Linked DNA regions of Caenorhabditis elegans. The protein of the gene in region 3 purifies or fractionates together with the protein of the main gene of each other region. This does not show direct contact. Each region holds a gene or a part of one and is shown on either strand. Other genes may lie near its edges. The genes, in order: kin-18, cysl-2, msd-3 and cyn-1.

Region 1 (8,182 bases), on a different chromosome or scaffold from region 3:
TTTTCCGTTCGATCCCTCCAACACTATCATTTCAATACAATTATTTTCCTTATTTTTCCTTTACTTCTGCATTTCTTGAGTTATTTAAACAAAACTAGCTAAACATTAGCTACCATTTATGTCAACTGGCGTTTTCAGTTCTCTGCGCAACATTTTTCTAACTTTATTCCACCAAAACAGGTGTTTTTTAGTTTAACTGTTCCTTTTTCCTTTGTCCCTTCCATCTTAAAAGAGTTTGTTTCAAAATGGCAGCTAGATGCCCCGGGCGGTCTGATAAGAGAGGAGTTTCTGGCCATGACGGTGCAATCAGTTGAAATTAAAAATATAAAGAAAAAATCAACCGTAAATCGATAACTTTTCTGGTCTTTCTTCGTCTGAAACTTTAAGTTTCTTATCATCTCAACAAATTCTTCATTTTATTGTTTTATTGAGGCAATAAGTTGAATGGAAGTTGGAGAACAATGCCATCTTAAATTGATAATCAAATTCAACAACGCTGGAATTTTTTCCAAGTTTTATCAAATTTCATAGCGCTTAAATTCCTATCAAAAAATACTTGGACCAGGTTTTTAGTGCAAACAAATGAATCATAGATGGTGATAAAGTTCTCGTTTTGGAAGGTTTTAGAAGTCAACAAATAAATATTTCCGTGCTGATATCATTCACCCTGCGTCACCTTTTCTCTTTTAGGGAAAACTTGTTATGATTTTTTTGAAAATTCATTAAACACTTCAGAAGGATTGCTAGCAATATTGCTAAATGAAGACAGGGCTAATATTTGTGAATCATTTTCTCTTTCTTTTTAATTTTAAACTATTTTGCGAAATATACCACAAAAAATGTTTTTAGTTTCTTTTGTGTTTATACCTTCATAACTATTCAACTAGTAGCAACACTTTAATTCCATGCTCATGAATTGACTAGATACTATAAGTTTAAAACTTCACCGATCAGCTTGAGAGATCCATCCAAAATAAGCTCTTTTCCAATTTCATTCTCTTTTCCCAAAATCCTCCAATCTCTTTGAATTAAGCGCCAAATAAAGTGGCGGATAGCCGGCGGTATTTTGTGCGGATTGCACTATGTTTTTTTATCATCCGTAGCCTGCGTCTCTTTGCTATTTCTGTGTATCTCTAGTTCTCTACACAATGTCTTGGCTCGGCGCCCTTTTGCTCGTGTTTGCATTGAAGACGCGTCCTCCCCTTCTTTGACGACACTTTTCTCCCCTACTTTCCATGAGATCAATTGAATTCTATAAATATTCAAGTAGATCATCCAAATATTGGTAATTGATACAATATTTAGCTTGAACGGACTGTAGTAGTCCTGAACTTCAGTTCTAATAAAGTAATCCGCAAAAGGACTCTACAAAATGATTCTACAAAAAGTTCAGTCTACGATGTGTTATTGTTTTTGCAATTTTCAGATTACTTATTCTCTAGTTCTACTCCCATAATAAATAATGGAATAAATAGAAAAAAAGTAGTGAAAGAGAGGAGAAAAGTGTTGCCGATAATCCTCTCTCCGCCACAGGCGGCAACTTTCTGATGCAGACAGGAACAGAAAATATTGCGATTTTTTCTATTTTAATGTTGACTGTTTTGTCACGCGATTTTTGAGTTTTTGGTTTTGTAAAAGTGTTAGACATTTTATGTTTAAATATGATTATGTCAAAAGTAAGTCATGAGCCTTCAATTTAAAAAAATTCGAAAAATTTACAACACTTTTATCGGTTACTAACAGCGTATATGAATATAAAAAAATTACTTCTAACTTTCCTATTTTTTCAAATCGGCAACACTTGTATCCTATTTTACTCCTATTTTACTTTTTTTAATTCTAAACTCCCCATTTCGCTTCCTTTTCATGATTATCATAATTTTCAGAGTTTCTCACATCAACCAGTTGCATCCACAATTTTCTCGATATTATCTGCAAGGAATCCTCTGGCTAATGTGCTCTCTCCGATCGACGACGGCGACGCCATCCTCGATTTTTACTCATCCATCAACAACAAAATCAAACAAGACAAGAAAAACATCAGAAAATTTCAAAAATTAATAACAATACACATTTATTAATAATCAAAAATTCATTTTCGTTGGCGCCGCGCTTCTCGAATATACGGAGAACGGAGGAGGTGGTGGAGTTACGATGGCGCCTGCCGTCTTACAAAAACCCGGTGTTATCAAGGATCCATCGATTGCTGCATTGTTCAGTAATAAGGATCCAGAGCAGAGATATCAAGATTTAAGAGAAATTGGACATGGATCTTTTGGAGCTGTCTATTTTGTAAGTTTTCTGTTTAAAAAAATTAAATTCAGTTAATTTTCAAAAAATTACTGGTGCGAAATTTTGCCATTTTTGAGTGTGCGTCTTTAAAAAGTTCTGTAATTTCAAAATTCTGTTGTTTTGAATTTTTTATCGACACTTCATAATTTTCGATAGAAAAATGTATATTAATCGAAAAAAATTTAAAAATTAAATTGTTAGAAACCCTGTAAAAATCGATTGAGATTTTACAGCAACGAACATTTGAAATTACAGTACAGACCGGGTACCGTATTTTACCGAATATCGAAAATTTTCCGATTACTTATTTCTTTTCTTTATTTTTGAATAAAATAAATTTGAAATTATTTTCTCATTTTTTGGTTCAGGCGGCTTCAAACTTTCATTAAATGAAATAAAATATATTGTATTAAAATTTTTTTTTTCAGGCATATGACAAAAAAAATGAGCAGACTGTTGCGATTAAAAAGATGAATTTTAGTGGAAAACAGGCTGTCGAAAAATGGAATGATATTCTTAAAGAAGTGTCTTTTCTGAATACAGTTGTTCATCCACATATTGTCGACTACAAGGCTTGTTTTCTTAAGGACACTACATGTTGGGTGAGATTATTTAAAAACAAAAATAGTTTTTCTATAATGCTAAATATATCAAAACGTTTAAGCTAATATTCTCGATTTCAGCTTGTGATGGAGTACTGTATTGGCTCTGCAGCCGATATAGTGGATGTCTTGCGAAAAGGAATGCGAGAAGTCGAAATCGCTGCGATTTGCTCTCAAACTTTGGATGCTCTTCGATATCTTCACTCTCTGAAGCGAATACATCGAGATATTAAAGCTGGAAATATTCTGCTATCTGATCATGCTATTGTTAAACTAGGTAATTATATTAATTTATTTGGTTTTTCAAAACTTCATTGAATAATTATAGCTGATTTCGGATCCGCATCCCTGGTAGATCCGGCTCAAACTTTCATCGGAACGCCGTTTTTCATGGCCCCAGAGGTAATTCTGGCAATGGATGAGGGTCACTACACGGATCGTGCAGATATTTGGTCATTGGGTATCACGTGTATAGAGCTGGGTGAGAAATATTTTAAATTATACTTGATAATTAATTTTATTATTTATAGCCGAACGTCGTCCACCATTGTTCAGTATGAATGCAATGTCTGCCCTCTACCATATTGCTCAAAATGATCCTCCAACTCTTTCTCCAATTGACACTAGCGAACAACCGGAATGGTCGCTGGAATTCGTTCAATTTATAGACAAATGTCTTCGAAAACCAGCAGAAGAGCGAATGTCAGCTGAAGAATGCTTTCGACATCCATTCATTCAACGGTCTCGCCCATCAGACACAATTCAGGAACTCATTCAGAGAACGAAAAATATGGTATTAGAGTTGGATAATTTTCAATACAAAAAGATGAGAAAACTCATGTATTTGGATGAAACAGAAGGAAAAGAAGGAAGTGAAGGAAATGGAGCATCTGATGATTTAGATTTTCATGGAAATGAAGCTAATTCAATTGGAAGAGGTAGTTTTTAAAATTCAAAGTGAAAATATTAATATCTTGGAATAATTTTTATAATATTGCTTTAAACCCTCAGCTTTTTTTTGCAGACTCTATCCCTTAGTTGTTCGTTTTCCATCTATTCTCGTTTTCAGCAGGAGATTCTGCGTCATCTCGAAGTGCTTCTCTTACTTCTTTCCGATCAATGCAGAGTAGTGGAGGAGCTGGTCTTTTAGTGTCCACCAATACGACGGGTGCTATGGATAATGTGCATGGTACTGTACTGTTTTTTTTGTTTTAGGAATGGCTTTATTATTTCCTGCAAAGTTCAAAAATTCCATTTATTTTAGTTTTTCTCTCGAAATTCATCGCGCAACATTGAGAATCTTTCAAAATTTTCAGGATCCTCTGGATACGGTAATGGAAGTAGTTCGACGACGAGCTCCGCACGCCGCCGTCCTCCAATTCCTTCGCAAATGCTCTCTTCTACATCAACGTCTGGTGTTGGAACTATGCCGAGTCATGGATCAGTTGGAGCATCGATTACGGCGATCGCAGTCAATCCAACACCGTCTCCTTCAGAACCTATCCCAACATCACAACCAACATCGAAATCAGAATCATCTTCTATACTCGAAACTGCACACGATGATCCTTTGGACACGTCGATACGTGCTCCAGTGAAAGACTTGCATATGCCGCATCGAGCAGTCAAGGAACGAATAGCCACGTTGCAAAATCACAAATTCGCGACGCTTCGTTCCCAGAGAATAATCAATCAGGAACAAGAAGAATATACGAAAGAGAACAATATGTATGAGCAAATGAGCAAGTACAAGCATCTACGACAAGCACATCACAAAGAGCTCCAACAATTTGAAGAACGATGTGCATTAGATAGAGAGCAACTGCGTGTGAAAATGGATCGAGAACTCGAACAATTGACAACGACATACTCGAAAGAAAAGATGAGAGTGAGGTGTTCACAGAATAATGAACTAGACAAACGGAAAAAAGATATCGAAGATGGGGAGAAAAAGATGAAAAAGACGAAAAATAGTCAAAATCAGCAGCAGATGAAACTGTATTCAGCGCAACAATTGAAAGAATACAAGTATAACAAGGAGGCACAGAAAACAGTGAGAATTCACTTTTATTTGATTTCTGTAAAGAAATTATACGAAATTTAGACTTTATAAATTTTTAAATATGAAAGTTCTGGTCACTTTTTCAGCTGCTTCTCCACTTTTTTCAAAGTTTATTATTTAGTCTTGAATAATTTTTTAAAAAATGTCCTAAACCAAGAATTTTCAGCGATTACGAAGTCTGAACATGCCTCGAAGTACTTATGAGAACGCAATGAAAGAAGTGAAAGCCGATCTGAATCGAGTGAAAGATGCACGGGAAAATGATTTTGACGAGAAGCTTCGTGCAGAACTTGAAGATGAAATTGTAAGGTATCGCAGGCAACAACTCAGTAATCTTCATCAATTGGAAGAACAATTGGATGATGAAGTTAGTTTGGAGAATTTGATTTTAACCAGAAAATAAATTTAAAAGTTTCACTAATACAAGAAAAGTCGATTTTTTGAAAATTGAAAAACGAAACATTTTCCTTTTTTTAATCGAAAATCAACAATTCCCGGTTTTCGAGTTTTCATAAAGTATCTTTAAAAAATTGACCATTTTAATATTTTTTTGAAAGAAGTTTACATATTGTTTTGTTTTTTGTTAAGTTTTTTATCAACATAAACACGATTGGATGTTTAAAAAATTCGGAAAAATCTAAAATTCTAACATTTTTATTTTCCCCTGAAAAAAATCTATAATTTTTTCGATTAACTCCTTGACCAGAAAATCGTTTTTTCAAATTGTGAAATTCATATAACTTTAAAAAAAACTTGAGCCTTTCTTCAAGTATATAGATAAATATGAATTTCTTCCCAAAAATCGTCAACAGTTACTATTCAGTTTATATATTCAGGACGTAAACGTGCAAGAACGCCAAATGGACACGCGTCACGGATTACTGTCAAAGCAGCATGAAATGACGCGCGATTTGGAAATACAGCATCTCAACGAGCTTCACGCGATGAAAAAACGACATTTGGAGACACAACACGAGGCGGAATCGGCAAGTCAAAATGAGTACACACAGAGGCAACAGGATGAATTGAGAAAAAAGCATGCGATGCAGTCAAGACAACAGCCAAGAGATTTAAAGGTATTTTTGAATTGTGGAGAAGATTTGATTTAGTTTATTCCTGAATATTTTCAGATCCAAGAAGCACAAATTCGAAAACAATACCGACAAGTTGTGAAGACTCAGACTCGCCAATTTAAGCTCTACCTTACACAAATGGTGCAAGTAGTTCCAAAAGATGAACAAAAAGAGCTCACGTCTCGACTAAAACAGGATCAAATGCAAAAAGTCGCACTTCTTGCTTCACAATACGAAAGTCAAATCAAAAAAATGGTTCAGGATAAGACAGTGAAGCTCGAGTCGTGGCAAGAAGATGAACAACGGGTTCTTAGTGAGAAGTTGGAGAAAGAATTGGAAGAATTGATTGCTTATCAGAAGAAGACGAGAGCCACATTAGAAGAGCAGATTAAAAAGGTGAGCGGAAATGTATACAACATTCTAACATTTGTGCTGAAAACTTTTTTTTTTGAGTTTTGAAGAAAATTGGAAAACTGAACTAGCTCCACTACTTCAACTAAATTTATATTTTCAGGAACGTACGGCACTCGAAGAACGAATTGGCACACGACGTGCAATGCTTGAACAGAAGATTATTGAAGAACGCGAACAAATGGGAGAAATGCGTCGACTAAAGAAGGAGCAAATCCGTGATCGACACAGTCAAGAACGCCATCGTCTCGAGAATCATTTCGTACGGACGGGCTCGACGAGCAGAAGTTCTGGTGGGATCGCTCCTGGTGTTGGGAATTCAAGCAGTATTCAGATGGCTATGTAGAATGATGTTGTCTCTTAATTCTACTACACTTCGGGTCGTCTACCAATTGTTTTCTTTTTTTGTCGTTTTATACAAAATGTATGCTTGTATGGACAATTAATTGATAGTATCTTCCAAATATCTTCCATCTAATTACGGTTCCAGTTCGTCTTTTTCTATGTTTTTTCTGCACCACCCTCATTCTCTCACTTTCTCCATGTCTTCTCCCTTCTTTTTTAGCTCCCAAAATCCAATTCTTCTGTGATAGATGAAAACCACGGCTAAACCCAATGGGGTACGGTATCCCGATCTCCGGGATACAGTAACCCCGAAAATACGTGCAATACTTCTCAACTATACCCAATTTTTCGTTCCTCACCTTCTCTTCCTAATTTCATTCAGAAACGAAACTTTAATCGGTGCTCTCAACGTTGTTTTCTCTATTTTCTCTAATATTTATAGTCTATTTGATATCTGAACCCCATCATCATATCATATATTCCAATATATCTCCTTCTCTTCTAATTTACTTATAAATATATTATAAAACTTTAATTATTTAGAAAATGCATTAACTTTAAATAACAAGAAAAAAAAAATTACAACTTTTCTGCAGAAAAGTTGTAATTTCTTATTTTTATATTTTAAGTTTTTTTGCAGATGATTTATGTAAAATAATAATTTTGGGTCGGTTTCCATAAATTGGAAATGAAAGAGTTGTTGAAAATGAAGGGAAGGTGAAAAAACATCTATGAGGGGCCCTAATCGTAACACACTGAATTTATGAAAGGGACATTAACAAAAACATGAGAATTTATCAGTTTATAAAAAATATTCTAACACTAAATAAAATTGAATTATAGCTTTCGAACGGGAAGGTTTCAAGATGAAAAATGAGCGGGGGGTTTCAGGGATTTCATATAAAAATTGTATTGAATAATAGAAAAGTAGAAATTTTTGATGGGAATGGGCGCAATTGGTGGGTAATCTTTGTTTTTTTTGTTGACTTGAGAGGAATAACATAAAATATTTAGAAAAATATAAACCAATAGAATATATAATAATTCCTACAACACACAAATCAAGGTATGAAGAATAAAGGTAATGGTAGAGACGGAGAGAATAGGCTACAAAACAAAATTTAAAAGATTTAAAAAAAAACAAAAAAAATCCAAAAAAACTTGTATTCTGAGTTGACTTTTATAAACGACGACTTGTTCATATCTCGGCTACCCAATAGAGAACAAAACACTGAAACTTCTTATTCTTCTTCCAAAAACGGAAAATATCACACACTGGGGGGAGCTGATGGGGGCAGATTTAACAAATAATGACGTCATCATTTATGTTTTGAAGCCGGCGTTGAGCACTGTGTTGACGAAACGGGCGTCTGGAAGAGCTCAGGACGTGTCTGATG
Region 2 (4,496 bases), on a different chromosome or scaffold from region 3:
TGGAAGGAGCCAGTCTACTGGGAATCGCATTCTGTTTGATGCTAGTACCAATGACATCATCGTTCTGGATATCATTGATCATATTCACTATGGCAATGGCTGCCAGAGGGCTACACCACGGTGGTGTTTCCGTAAATCCACACGATTTTGCACCAAATCATGCGGGATCTGTTTTTGGTAAGGGTAGACTTCTTCTGAACATGAGCACGAAAGTTTTTTCTGATTGCCAAAAATATCAAACTTTGCATTTCTAGCAAATTGCTGATTTGGCGAAAAAATATTTTTTTAGATCCGGAATCCCACCAGATTGATGCCTGAAAAAAACAAAAAAGAAGTTATATTAAAATAACCATTTTTCAGGAGTTTTCAATGCCTGCGGCGCCATCACCGGATTCGTCGGTGTCTACATTGCTGGTCACATCCTGGAAGCCACGAATAACAACTGGTCGTACGTGTTCGTTGTGACGGCGGCTCAGTGTGTTGTTGGAGCTATGGTTTATACACTTCTGGGCACTGGACAGAAGATTATTTAATTATTTGTTTCATGTGCATTAACTTTTTTTTCAAAAATTCTTGAAGTGAATCCGAAGATTTACTTTTGAAAAATAGTTTTCTTCTTCTTCTTTATTCTTGTTTCATAATTTTTGTTATCGGTCTTTTCTTCTTCTTCTCATTTCCCCTCTGAACTATAAACTTGCCTCTTCTCATTTTTCTTCCCCCACCCCTCTTCGAATTGTCTGTGTTCACCCTTCCCCACACCCACTCAATTTTCAGTGATTCATAGTTTATCCGGGTTTTTGAAGTCTTTTCATTGTACGAAATGTGTAATATTCATGTCTTTTTTAAATAAATTTATTTATTTTCCAAAACAACATTTTTTGGAATGAAACATTTTCACACAATATGAAATTCGAAAGTTTAAATTCCTAGGTATTCTTTGGCAATCTTGATGGAATCGTCGAGGTTCAACTGTTTCATGTTGGCGGCGTTATCACGGAGCTCGGCGTAGAGGGCGGTTGAACTGAAATAGCCAAGTATTGGGCGGGGCTTATTTTGAAATATTTAATATCTGAGACAAAGATTCCCGAGAAAGTTTTATATTTTCAAATTATAGAAACAACATTTACCCAATGTGACCAAAATTGAGCCCCGCCCAATTCTTGGCTTTCGAATTTTCTTGAACTTTTTCAATTTTTCGGGTTTTTACAGTTTTTGGGAAGGTCTATTTGGAGTTTAATTTCATTGTTAAATTATTACTTTCGAGGTTGGAGGCAGGCGTCAGGTCCTGAAACCGCGCCTACCGCCCATGAAAGCCCTACATTTTTTTCATGGAAAAAACTGAAAATTCTGCAATAATATTGAATATAAAACTTACAGATAGCGTTCTCCAAAACTGTTAACTGTGGTGACAATTAGTTTCCCCTTATTCTCCGGTCGCTTGGCCAACTGAACTGCAGCGCACACGTTGGCTCCAGACGAGATTCCACCCAAAATCGACTCCTCGTCGGCAAGCTTCTTGGCCATTGCAATAGCATCATCGGAATGAACTCGCAGAGCCTCGGAGAAAAGGGTCAAGTCGAGGATGTCAGGAATCATTCCGGTTCCCATGCCTGGAAATAGAAAATATAACCGTTTTTGACATGGTGCATCGACTTTTTTTTGTTTGATTTACAATTCCCCAGCCCCGAAAATTTGGAAAAAAAATGCTCACCTTGAATTTTGTGTGGGCTATGTGGAAGTCCATTGATCACAGAACTCTCAAATGGCTCAACTGGGAACACTTGAACACTTGGGTTCTTCTCCTTCAAGAATCGTCCGACTCCAGTGCAAGTTCCACCTGATCCAACTCCGAAGCATACGATATCAACCTTGCCCTGTGTCTGCCTCCAAATTTCTGGTCCTGTAGTCTTATAATGGGCTTCTGGATTTGCTGGATTTCCGAATTGGTTCAAGATATACGCATTTGGAATCACATCGCGAAGCTCTTCGGCTCTTTGGACAGCTCCTTTGACCGCGGTCGCTGGATCGGTAAGAATCACCTCAGCACCGTAGGCCTTTAACAGACACCTTCTCTCAATACTCATCGACGCTGGCATCGTAAGAATAACTTTGTACCCACGAAGTTTTCCGCAGTAGGCCAACGCAATTCCCATGTTTCCACTGGTTGGCTCAATGAGCACAGTTTTGCCGGGGGTGATGAGCCCGGCCTTCTCAGCTGTGTCGATCATGTTGAACGCGATACGATCCTTGACCGAGCAGGCAGGGTTCATGTACTCTACCTTGACGGCAATCGATGCACCGAGATCCTTTCCGATCTTGTTGAGCTTCAGGAGTGGGGTGTTTCCGATGAGCTCACCACCGGTTTCGACCATAAGTTCGCGGGACATGATGAGTTGATTGGCAGAGGATAACTAATACTCTGAAAAAAAAAATGGAATAAGAGTTTTAAAAAGATTTTTCGCAGGAATTCAAATAAAGGGAGTAATTAAATCCACTACACTATAATGTTGCAAAAAGACGAACTTTTCAACAAAAAGCGTAATAAAAAAGAATAAGAACAAAATTAACGAAAAGATATAACGATAGTGATAAGAAATGAAGACCAATCAGGTAGAAAACAATAATACGTGCGAGATGAGTAAACGATAAGGGCGGGCGGCAGTTATTGTCATCATTTTTCTTGGTATCAAAGTAATTTGATCTATTGGTAGACGCGGAAGATCAAATTGATATTACGGGAACACAAAATTCTGAAAATGCGTTTTGCACACCATATTTGACGCACAAAATATCACGTAGCGAAAACTATTCTTTCAGTGATTACTGTAGTGATGGTGTCGATTTACGGGCACGATTTTCGGAATGAGTTAAAATAATTTATTTATGAACAGAATTTCAAAAATCGAGCCCGTAAATGCGCATTCTCAGAACTGTGTTCCCGTAATACAAACCTTTGAAAATTAGTTATACATATTATTTTATTTCGATTTACGATTGAGTAGGGCATCCATGGTAAGCAGGCTCGGTTTCAGGGCTTGACGCCTGCCTTTTTAAAGCCTAAATGGAATCCCTATCTTTAATAAAGCTGATAAAAATAGTGTGCGCCTTTACTAATAGAAGTCTAATTGTAAGATGATCGAATTTAACAATTAAAATATCCGAGATTTTTGAAATTTTCAAAAAAATTATTTAGTTTCTTTTACTGTAAATACCCTAAAATTTATCTGAAACTTGTGAACTTTCACTACTGGAATTCTGGATGGTTTCTATGAAAAAAAGACGGTCCAATTAAAATCATTTTTCGCCGGGAACACATTAGTAAAGTACTTTCACACTTGAGGTAACAATTTCTACAAAAAAGTGCAAAACCAGAAGACATGTTTCATCAGATTCCAAACTTCACCTTTTATACTTCCATCCGCTGTGAAATGAACGTGTGTTTTTGGACTATAAGCACCGCCCATATTTGCTCCATATGATGAGAACTAGGAAATCATCACTTGAAAACATTTGATTGGGTGTCTGTGTCTCAAATAGTCTGTTCTATGATCTGAACTGCTAATCGAGAGGATGATAAGATCAAAGTGAGTACGTGACATATTGAAGATTGTTTTATGGAATTTTATTATTTCTGAAAGGGGGAACACCAGAAGACATGTGCATCTGGAAACATGTGCACCTATTCTGAAATATTTTAGGTGAATATATTTTCAAGAACCCAACTGAAGGCCGATAGAATAGCTCCAGAAGCGGATTCTTGCAATTTTTCTTTTCAGAGCTCTTTAGAGGTAGGAATCAGAGGTGGGCGGCCATTGCCGTTTGGCAAGCTTTTCTCCGCAAATTTGGCAAGTCAACAAAATGCCGGTTTCCCAATTTGCCGGAATTTCTCAATTCCCGCAAATTGCCGGATGTCAATTTGCCGGAAGTGTGTTTTTTAAGACGGAAATACTTAAAACTGAGCCATTTTGAAAATTAATATTATTTTCATAGAATTTGCTTACTTTTCAGAATAGATGTAGGAGCATTCATGATAAGTACAATTTTGCCGATTAAAAGAGAAATTCTGAAATTTCCCGAAAAAGTGTGCTAAACCACAATTTGCCGAAAATTTCTGCAATTGCCGTTTTTCGGCAAATAGATCCGGTTTGCCGATTTGCCGGAAATTGTCATTTTCTGCAAATTACCTATTTGTCGTTTGTCGGAAAAAAACGGTTTCCGCCCACCCCTGGTAAAAAATACAATCTGAAAGTTAAAAAAAAAACATCTTAAAATTCTTACAGCCAACCCAATCGTAAAAATTCAGATAAAAAACATTTAACAATCTTTCATAATACTCCCATACTTGCATAAAATTATCTTAAATTCAACAATTTTTCGGCGAAAATACGTTACCCGGTCTCGCCACATCAATTTTTGTTAAATTCGAAAAGGTGTGCGCCTTTAAAGAGTACTGTAATTTCAATTTTCAATCGATTTTACATTTTTTTACGGTTTGT
Region 3 (3,326 bases):
AGTGTTTATTACGTCTAATAGATAATATTGTAATAAAGCTCAAGTTTGTGTGCCTCTACCGGACGAGCTCTATGTTTTGCAGGAAGCTATCGTTTTCTTCCACCGACTCCTAAGACAGTATTTCCTAATGTGGCTTTCACCTGAATATTGAGTTTTATGTCTGTGTGTAGAAATGGTTATCGCATCTGTGATTATTCCCGTCAAACTACTCATATTCAGAAATTTATGAATTACGGGCAATTAAATTGCTCAGAAATTCAGAATTCAGAATTGAGAAGAAATGTACAGACAGCATTTCACCAATGCCACCGTCTAAATTAAATTATTAATTTAATAACTTTTCCAAGTTAGCTACGGGCACCAATCCGAATGTGATTAAAAGGCGAACGGGTGAACGTAGTTGCAGCGGAGATCTTAGAATTATGATCTAGTGAACTTCCACAACTACAGTCGATTCGACACTTTCTCTGCCAATTTCCTGGTTAAAATATTTAGTGGGCACTTTCTCAGCCACAATTATGATAAATTCTTTGATTTCTTATTGAAACTAAGCAGTTCTAGTAAGAAACAAATGTGAAATAATAAAAACCAAAAACTTCAATTCAAATATTTCATTCAAAACATTCAAATCTCTTTTTTCCAAAATGTCTCATCATACTCGTCGATTTAAACGTCTAAGCCGTTGCCGACATTGGAATTGTAATGGTTCCAGCTGGAGTGATGGCAGCAAACGCAGCTTGGGCATCAGTTGCATCAGCCGGAGCAGCGGCAAAGTGAACAACAAGCTTGTCTTCTTTTGGTGCTCCAGCAGTACGAGTGATTGTGATGTCCTTTGAACCAGATGGATCAACGAATCCAAAGACCGGAGTGATGCGGTATTCGTTGTTGTTTGAAGACTTGATCTTGAAGATCATCTTCTCAGCTCCAGCATTGACAAGTTTGTGGGTAGAAGCACCTCCAGCAGCTGGAACAGTGCACGCTGGTGGATCGGCCGTCAGAGACATCTTTTTGAAACTTTATGTTAAAGTTGTATAAACTGAATAGCAGTCGTTATCAAGATGAACCAGTGACCTTTCGTGAACTTTTGATTTTAAATATTTTTGTAAATTTAAAAAGGTTTGTTAATATCAACTGTCTGCTCCCTTTTGAAAATATAGTTTTTTAAAAGTTATTTACGCTCTCGAGAAGACGTGGAAGAGGTTAAGGAAAAAATAAAAATATAGAAAAAAAAATATTTTTGTAAATTTAAAAAGGTTTTTTTCCGATGTATATAAGGATTTAAAATAAATAAGTCATTAAATATATTTTCTATAACATGAAAAATTCACCGCTAACTGGCGTCAACTAACAATGACGTGTTCAGTTGGAATGTCACTTTTAAAGGTTCGGAATTACTTGAGTTGTTGACTAATAGACACTAAAGGAGTTACTTTGAGATACGCGATTTTTTTTGTCAAGAAAGGAGTACCCGGTTGCAGCGGATATTCGAAAAATACAATGAACACTTTTTCACGGGAAGACATTTCATAAAAAAATTTCCAGTCTCCAAAAGAAGCAGCCGTAGCGGTAAAGAAGGAAACAGCTGCCACGAAAAAAGCTGAAAAAGCCATAATTGAAGAGCTCTCCGCAGCTGGTGCAAGTCGATTTTAAATGAGAAACTTCAAAAATGTGCGGCGGTTACTGATGGGAAGAACGTTTCATTGGTTGTGTGAATCAATTTTTTGTTATTTTGTTGATTTTTCCCCTTTCTTCACTTTGTTGTTATTGTTGAATTATTGTTGAATTGAATTGAAAAAAAACAATTTAAACAAAATCCCATTATTCAAGATTATCACAATCAAACAGAAAACACCGACTTTCCAGATTCTGTATTCGAAGGTGCATTTGCAGTTGCCATTCCAGCTGTCTTTGGAGTAGTTCGTCCCGATTTTGCACCACCGCCGCCGCTCTTCATGGTCTCCTCCTGAGTTGGCTCCAATTTCCGTTCTTTTGCTGATTTTTTGGATGATTTTTGAGTAGGCATCATTGGACCAGGAGTCCGTTGTTTGCTGCGACGAGGTGTTTCTTGCGGTTTTCGGTCGGGCTTCTTGTCGGACAACGGCATTTCAGAGTTCACCTGGAAGATTTTCAAGATTTTTTCACATATGAATAATAATTGATTCAAACCTTCGATCTTTCCTGGTCTTCTTTACTATTTTGGCTATCGATCGTGTCACAACCTCCATCATCTTTCGATCGGCATGCATCATTGCTTCGGATAATAAAGGCCAAACCAGTCTCTCGCCAATGAACATGGGCGCTGAAATTGAGAATTGCAATTGTAGGTAGATAGGCAGGCACGCATGCCGAGCTCGAATGGTTATCTTAGGCAATTTCTAGGCAATTATTGACAGTATCTTAAACATCTCTCAATACAAAACTAGGGTGAAATCAGAAGGCTTCTGAAAAAAGTGCTGCCTTCCAGGAAAGTTACGCTTTGTAGGCACTAAGCAGGCAGACACTTCTTTCGAGAGGATTATCCGGGAAGTAGCAGGTGGTCGAGGGCAGGTAGCGGGAAATCAGAAAAGAATGTAGGCATGTAGGCAGGCATGTAGGCATGAAGATATATCAGCTTAGGCGTAGGCATTGGCTAAGGCTTAGGCATCTTCGCGTTGAAATCTGTAATTGTGATAAACTAACTCTTTCCATTTTTCGTTTCTCTTATCCAACACGGGAACTCTCAACTCCTTCCTGTACCGTTGTTTCGGATGTTGTGGCAATTGCGCAACCATCTTCTTCATCTCTTCCTTCGTGGTCCCATTCGTTATTCTCCGTGTTTGGATTTCCCACTTTGGGAAGTATTGATTGGTTTTATGACGGAGCGCAGCTTCTTTTGCCGCATTCTCATCATTACATCCACCAGGAAGTGTTGGTGTTAGAAGACGAACATTTGCAAGTGGATCCTCTTGAAGTTCAACTGTTTGGATATCTTGAGTTTTATCGTAGTTTGGCTCAGACACAGGTTGCTGTTGTTGGTCTTCGTTCGATGGTTTCGAGTTTTGTCTGCGCACTTTTCCGCCACAAATTGTCATTAAAATGCTAATCTGAAATGTTAAGTTTAGTTATAATTTTACAGACTTTCTGAAATTATAACGGATTCTTTACACATTCAATTTTCGATGTGCGCATGATGCCAACACATCTACTGTGTAAAAACAATATCTAAAAGGTTTTAAAACTCACCAGAAAAACAGACAGGAATGTCCAATATTGACTTATCAAAATATCGAAGACATCCATGATGATAAACAATAGAAATAATTGAATATTTCTCTTTTTTTTCCTTT
Region 4 (3,541 bases), on a different chromosome or scaffold from region 3:
AAGCTGAGCAATGGGAAAACAAGAAACAACAGCTGATTGGTTGGCCACTCCTACTTTTTTGAACTTTGAGGAAAAAAAAAAGCGAGGAACTCCGGTTTTTCCGCAGACTATGGACGCTTCCGCACGCGGGAAATTCCCGTTTTCCGCAGACTATGGACGCACCATTAAAATTAACAAAAATTTGTCGCGTCGAGGCCAATTAGTGTATTATTAACTTTTTAAATGCAATTTCAGATGTGCAAAAACCTGCAAATTTTGTGTTGACGATGACGAGTACGAAGAAGAGGAAACAGAGGATAGCCGGGAAATTCATATTTCGCATTTGAAATCCAGTAAGCTTCTTCCGACCTGTTTAAACATATTCTGAAATATTTAGAAATGGGTGAAAAAACTGTTCAAAAATTGGAAGAGTTGAAAATAGTTGACAATGTGATTGATCTTCTGAGAAATGCAACAACTCCCACGACGTTCATGGAAAAGAAACCGCGAAGGTTCTCGAAAAGAATTGAAAATATCTCATCGGAAATGACTGATACTGCAGAATGCGTGGATCGAGCATCAGATTGTGAGAGGAATCAGAAGTTGTGCACACATAGAGCCTATTCTCCACTTTTTCGTAAAATTTGTGCGAAGACGTGTGAATATTGTACATCGGCAGATGATATTGAGTCTTCTGGTGAATTTTTATAGACCATTGCTTTTGCTTTTCACTTTTCTGGTAGAAAATAAATCTGTAAGACTTAATTTTTTCCAGTTATTTTTCGAAAAAAAACTAAAACTTTACTAATTAAAAACAATTAATTAAAAAATAATAACAATTTGCTAACGCTAATGAAAAATATTTTTGAAACAAAAAAAACAATGAAGTTACTCGCTCTTCAACTCTCCGCAATCGGCGATTGTGACAGTCTTGGCTGGGGCTCCGGATCGGGATCCCATCTTTTCGATCTTCTTCACAACAGACATGCCGTCGGTGACTTGTCCGAAAACGACGTGACCTCCATCAAGCCATGGAGTGTCGACTGTGCAAATGAAAAACTGAGATCCGTTGGTGTTTGGTCCAGCGTTGGCCATTGAAAGGCATCCTGGTCCGGTGTGCTTAAGATCGAAATTCTCGTCCTTGAATTTATTTCCGTAGATTGATTCACCACCAGTTCCGTTGTGGCGAGTGAAATCTCCTCCCTGAAGAATTGAATAATGTTAATGAAAAATAGTTAAAACTCATAGTTCGAAACTAAAAATTACCTGAATCATGAACTCTGGAATGATTCTGTGGAATTTTGATCCCTTGAAGTGAAGTGCAACTCCTTGCTCTCCGACGCCCTTCTCACCGGTGCACAATGCGCGGAAATTCTCTGCTGTTTTTGGGACAACATCGTTGAACAACTCCATGGTGACACGTCCTGCTGGTTCTTCTCCAATACTCACGTCGAAAAACACCTTCGGTCTTTGAGAGGCGAATCGAAGTGATTGACCGGCAAGTGAGGAGGCACGGAGTAGAAATTTCATTTTACCTGAAAAAAGAAACAAAACTAATTCAAAAACGTGCAGAACAAAGCCATAGGATTGAATTTAAAGTGAAAAAGAAAATAAAATAAATACTAATCTGACAAAGCGCAATCAAATTCTTTGCTTGCGCGTTTCTCGTGCACGCGAAAAACGCCAAGAGATTTGCGAGGTAATTCAAATAATAACAATTTTTGTCAAATATCCCACCGTACTATTTAAAGGCGCGTGGTTTAGAATGTGTAGGTATCGCATAGATTCTAATTTTTGTTCGAAATTAATAAAATTTTGTATATTTATTTGATTAAATGTTCAATTTGTTTCGATCTATTTATTAAAAAATATTACAAATCATTTTATTAAATGCGTGATCTTATTTCAAAGCTAAAATCAATAAATTTTCCGGTGATACTTCTGGCGGCACGTATTCTACAACTCTCGTCTTGAATCCAACACTTTCCAGCCAAATTGCTCGTCCGATTTCAAGGATGGCTTTCGCTCTTCGTCCAAGCTCTAATGGCGGATGAATTGACTTCCATCCTTCAGTTGCTTCTGTATCAACTGCTCCATTTGTTGCAAACGATGCAATATATCGAAGTGCAGCAAACGAAGCTTCATCATTCATTTCCCATTTCTCCAAAAAATCATGTCCTCCATATTCTGCGAATCGCGATTTGTGATGGCAACAAGGGATCAGAAGTGCAGCGTTGAATTGTAGACCACTATTCATCAACGATCGAATTCCAGCGTCTGTCGCGCTTCCACAAAAATGTTTACAGATTGCCAAAATCTTTTCAGAGTTCTAAAAAAAGATAAAGATTTTTTTGGATAAAAACTGTAAAACTCACCTTCAGCTCATCAATCTTGCTCAAGTCCATATGTTCAATTGAGCATCGGAAGCGTTTCATTGATAAATTCGGATTCTCTCGAAATGCAGCAGTATCAAATTTATTTCGTGATCCAGAGCGATCCATGAGAATATAATTTCCATTTGGCGCTGCTTTGGAGATCCAATAAGCTAGTTGACCTTTTCCAGCTCCGAGCTCGAACATGCAAGATTTGGAGCAAGTTGGAAGTAGCCCTGTGGATTCGATGTGACCTGAAAAGAAAATTATTAAAATGGAAATGCATTTTATAAAACCTAAAATAGACGAAATCTGGTATAATTGCTTCTTTTTCGTGTTGTTCAGATCTGAATTTTGTGCGATATTTTGCTCGACGAGCTCATTTCTTTGTTGCTCAACAATCAAACGATCCATTACATCCGTCTCATAGCACTTCCAGATCTTGTGCACAGTGGTACAAATCTCATCTTCAGTGGCTCTTCGATCAATTTTATCGGTGCGTTTGGTCTCGCCACGAATAGAATTTGCATCAATTTTGATATATTCTGCATCTCTGATTCTAGAATTACACCTTGTCAGATGAATCTCTAGATCTGCCTTCAGAATCGTATGTTTTCCATCATTCGGGCAAACCATACGATCAGTGTTATTCTGATCGTGAATTGAATGCTCTCCACAGAACCGATTTCCCTTTTTCACCAGCATCTTACACCGTCGCTTCTTAATTGGTAGAATATATTCACAGCAAGCGTTCTGCTGTTGTTGCTGCTTCACCGAATCCAATTCCATTTTGAAAACGAGACCTGCGTGCGAGATATTTGTGATTTTCCTAAAGTTTATTGCTATAGTTGAATTGGTGTGTCTCAAAAGTATTATACATATCACAACACAGTAAAACGTGGTTCGTAAGACTATACGGGTTGGTTGTCGCAAAAAAAGAAATGGAAGGGCACAAGTAAAGTAGTCTATTCAACAAGAAGAATACCAAAAATATTGATTAATATAAGTGAAATTGTTGTTTAAAACGGGAGTTGTAAGGCGACCAGATACATTGTGTGTGGTTGGAATTTTTTGAAGTTTAGAAATCTACAAAAGAGAAAAAAGGTGCAATAAATATCTGAAATTTGGAATGTCAAATCAATCAAACACTTTAAAGAGGATAAAAGTAGAGAAAGGAGGCGAATTGGGTG

Evidence for each region.
Region 1: the proteins of msd-3 (region 3) and kin-18 fractionate together in Caenorhabditis elegans (co-fractionation; one large-scale study listed by BioGRID). This does not show direct contact.
Region 2: the proteins of msd-3 (region 3) and cysl-2 fractionate together in Caenorhabditis elegans (co-fractionation; one large-scale study listed by BioGRID). This does not show direct contact.
Region 4: the proteins of msd-3 (region 3) and cyn-1 fractionate together in Caenorhabditis elegans (co-fractionation; one large-scale study listed by BioGRID). This does not show direct contact.

Annotation. Positions count from the first base shown.
Region 1 is NC_003281.10:6,116,741-6,124,922, forward strand, and holds kin-18 (Serine/threonine-protein kinase SULU), read left to right. Parts: upstream 1-1,886; 5' UTR 1,887-2,154; coding exon 2,155-2,292; intron 2,293-2,720; coding exon 2,721-2,894; intron 2,895-2,975; coding exon 2,976-3,171; intron 3,172-3,222; coding exon 3,223-3,375; intron 3,376-3,424; coding exon 3,425-3,832; intron 3,833-3,963; coding exon 3,964-4,083; intron 4,084-4,210; coding exon 4,211-4,947; intron 4,948-5,122; coding exon 5,123-5,323; intron 5,324-5,792; coding exon 5,793-6,032; intron 6,033-6,086; coding exon 6,087-6,425; intron 6,426-6,543; coding exon 6,544-6,786; 3' UTR 6,787-7,325; downstream 7,326-8,182. Other genes in the region: mvk-1 (GHMP kinase C-terminal domain-containing protein), read right to left, coding at 8,105-8,182. UniProt on the Caenorhabditis elegans protein: Acts as a negative regulator of cortical contractions during early embryonic cell division, possibly by regulating rho-1-dependent actomyosin contractility.
Region 2 is NC_003280.10:14,492,033-14,496,528, forward strand, and holds cysl-2 (Bifunctional L-3-cyanoalanine synthase/cysteine synthase), read right to left. Parts: upstream 2,420-4,496; 5' UTR 2,388-2,419; coding exon 1,712-2,387; intron 1,611-1,711; coding exon 1,376-1,610; intron 1,022-1,375; coding exon 919-1,021; 3' UTR 842-918; downstream 1-841. Other genes in the region: vnut-1 (Major facilitator superfamily (MFS) profile domain-containing protein), read left to right, coding at 1-177, 361-533.
Region 3 is NC_003282.8:10,033,316-10,036,641, reverse strand, and holds msd-3 (MSP domain-containing protein), read right to left. Parts: upstream 1,005-3,326; coding exon 675-1,004; downstream 1-674. Other genes in the region: F44D12.6 (CDI domain-containing protein), read right to left, coding at 1,838-2,116, 2,167-2,299, 2,680-3,083, 3,223-3,279.
Region 4 is NC_003283.11:14,354,049-14,357,589, reverse strand, and holds cyn-1 (Peptidyl-prolyl cis-trans isomerase 1), read right to left. Parts: upstream 1,515-3,541; 5' UTR 1,510-1,514; coding exon 1,246-1,509; intron 1,183-1,245; coding exon 868-1,182; 3' UTR 769-867; downstream 1-768. Other genes in the region: Y49A3A.4 (ShKT domain-containing protein), read left to right, coding at 235-332, 377-690; Y49A3A.3 (tRNA:m(4)X modification enzyme TRM13), read right to left, coding at 1,880-2,308, 2,355-2,605, 2,648-3,140. UniProt on the Caenorhabditis elegans protein: PPIases accelerate the folding of proteins. It catalyzes the cis-trans isomerization of proline imidic peptide bonds in oligopeptides.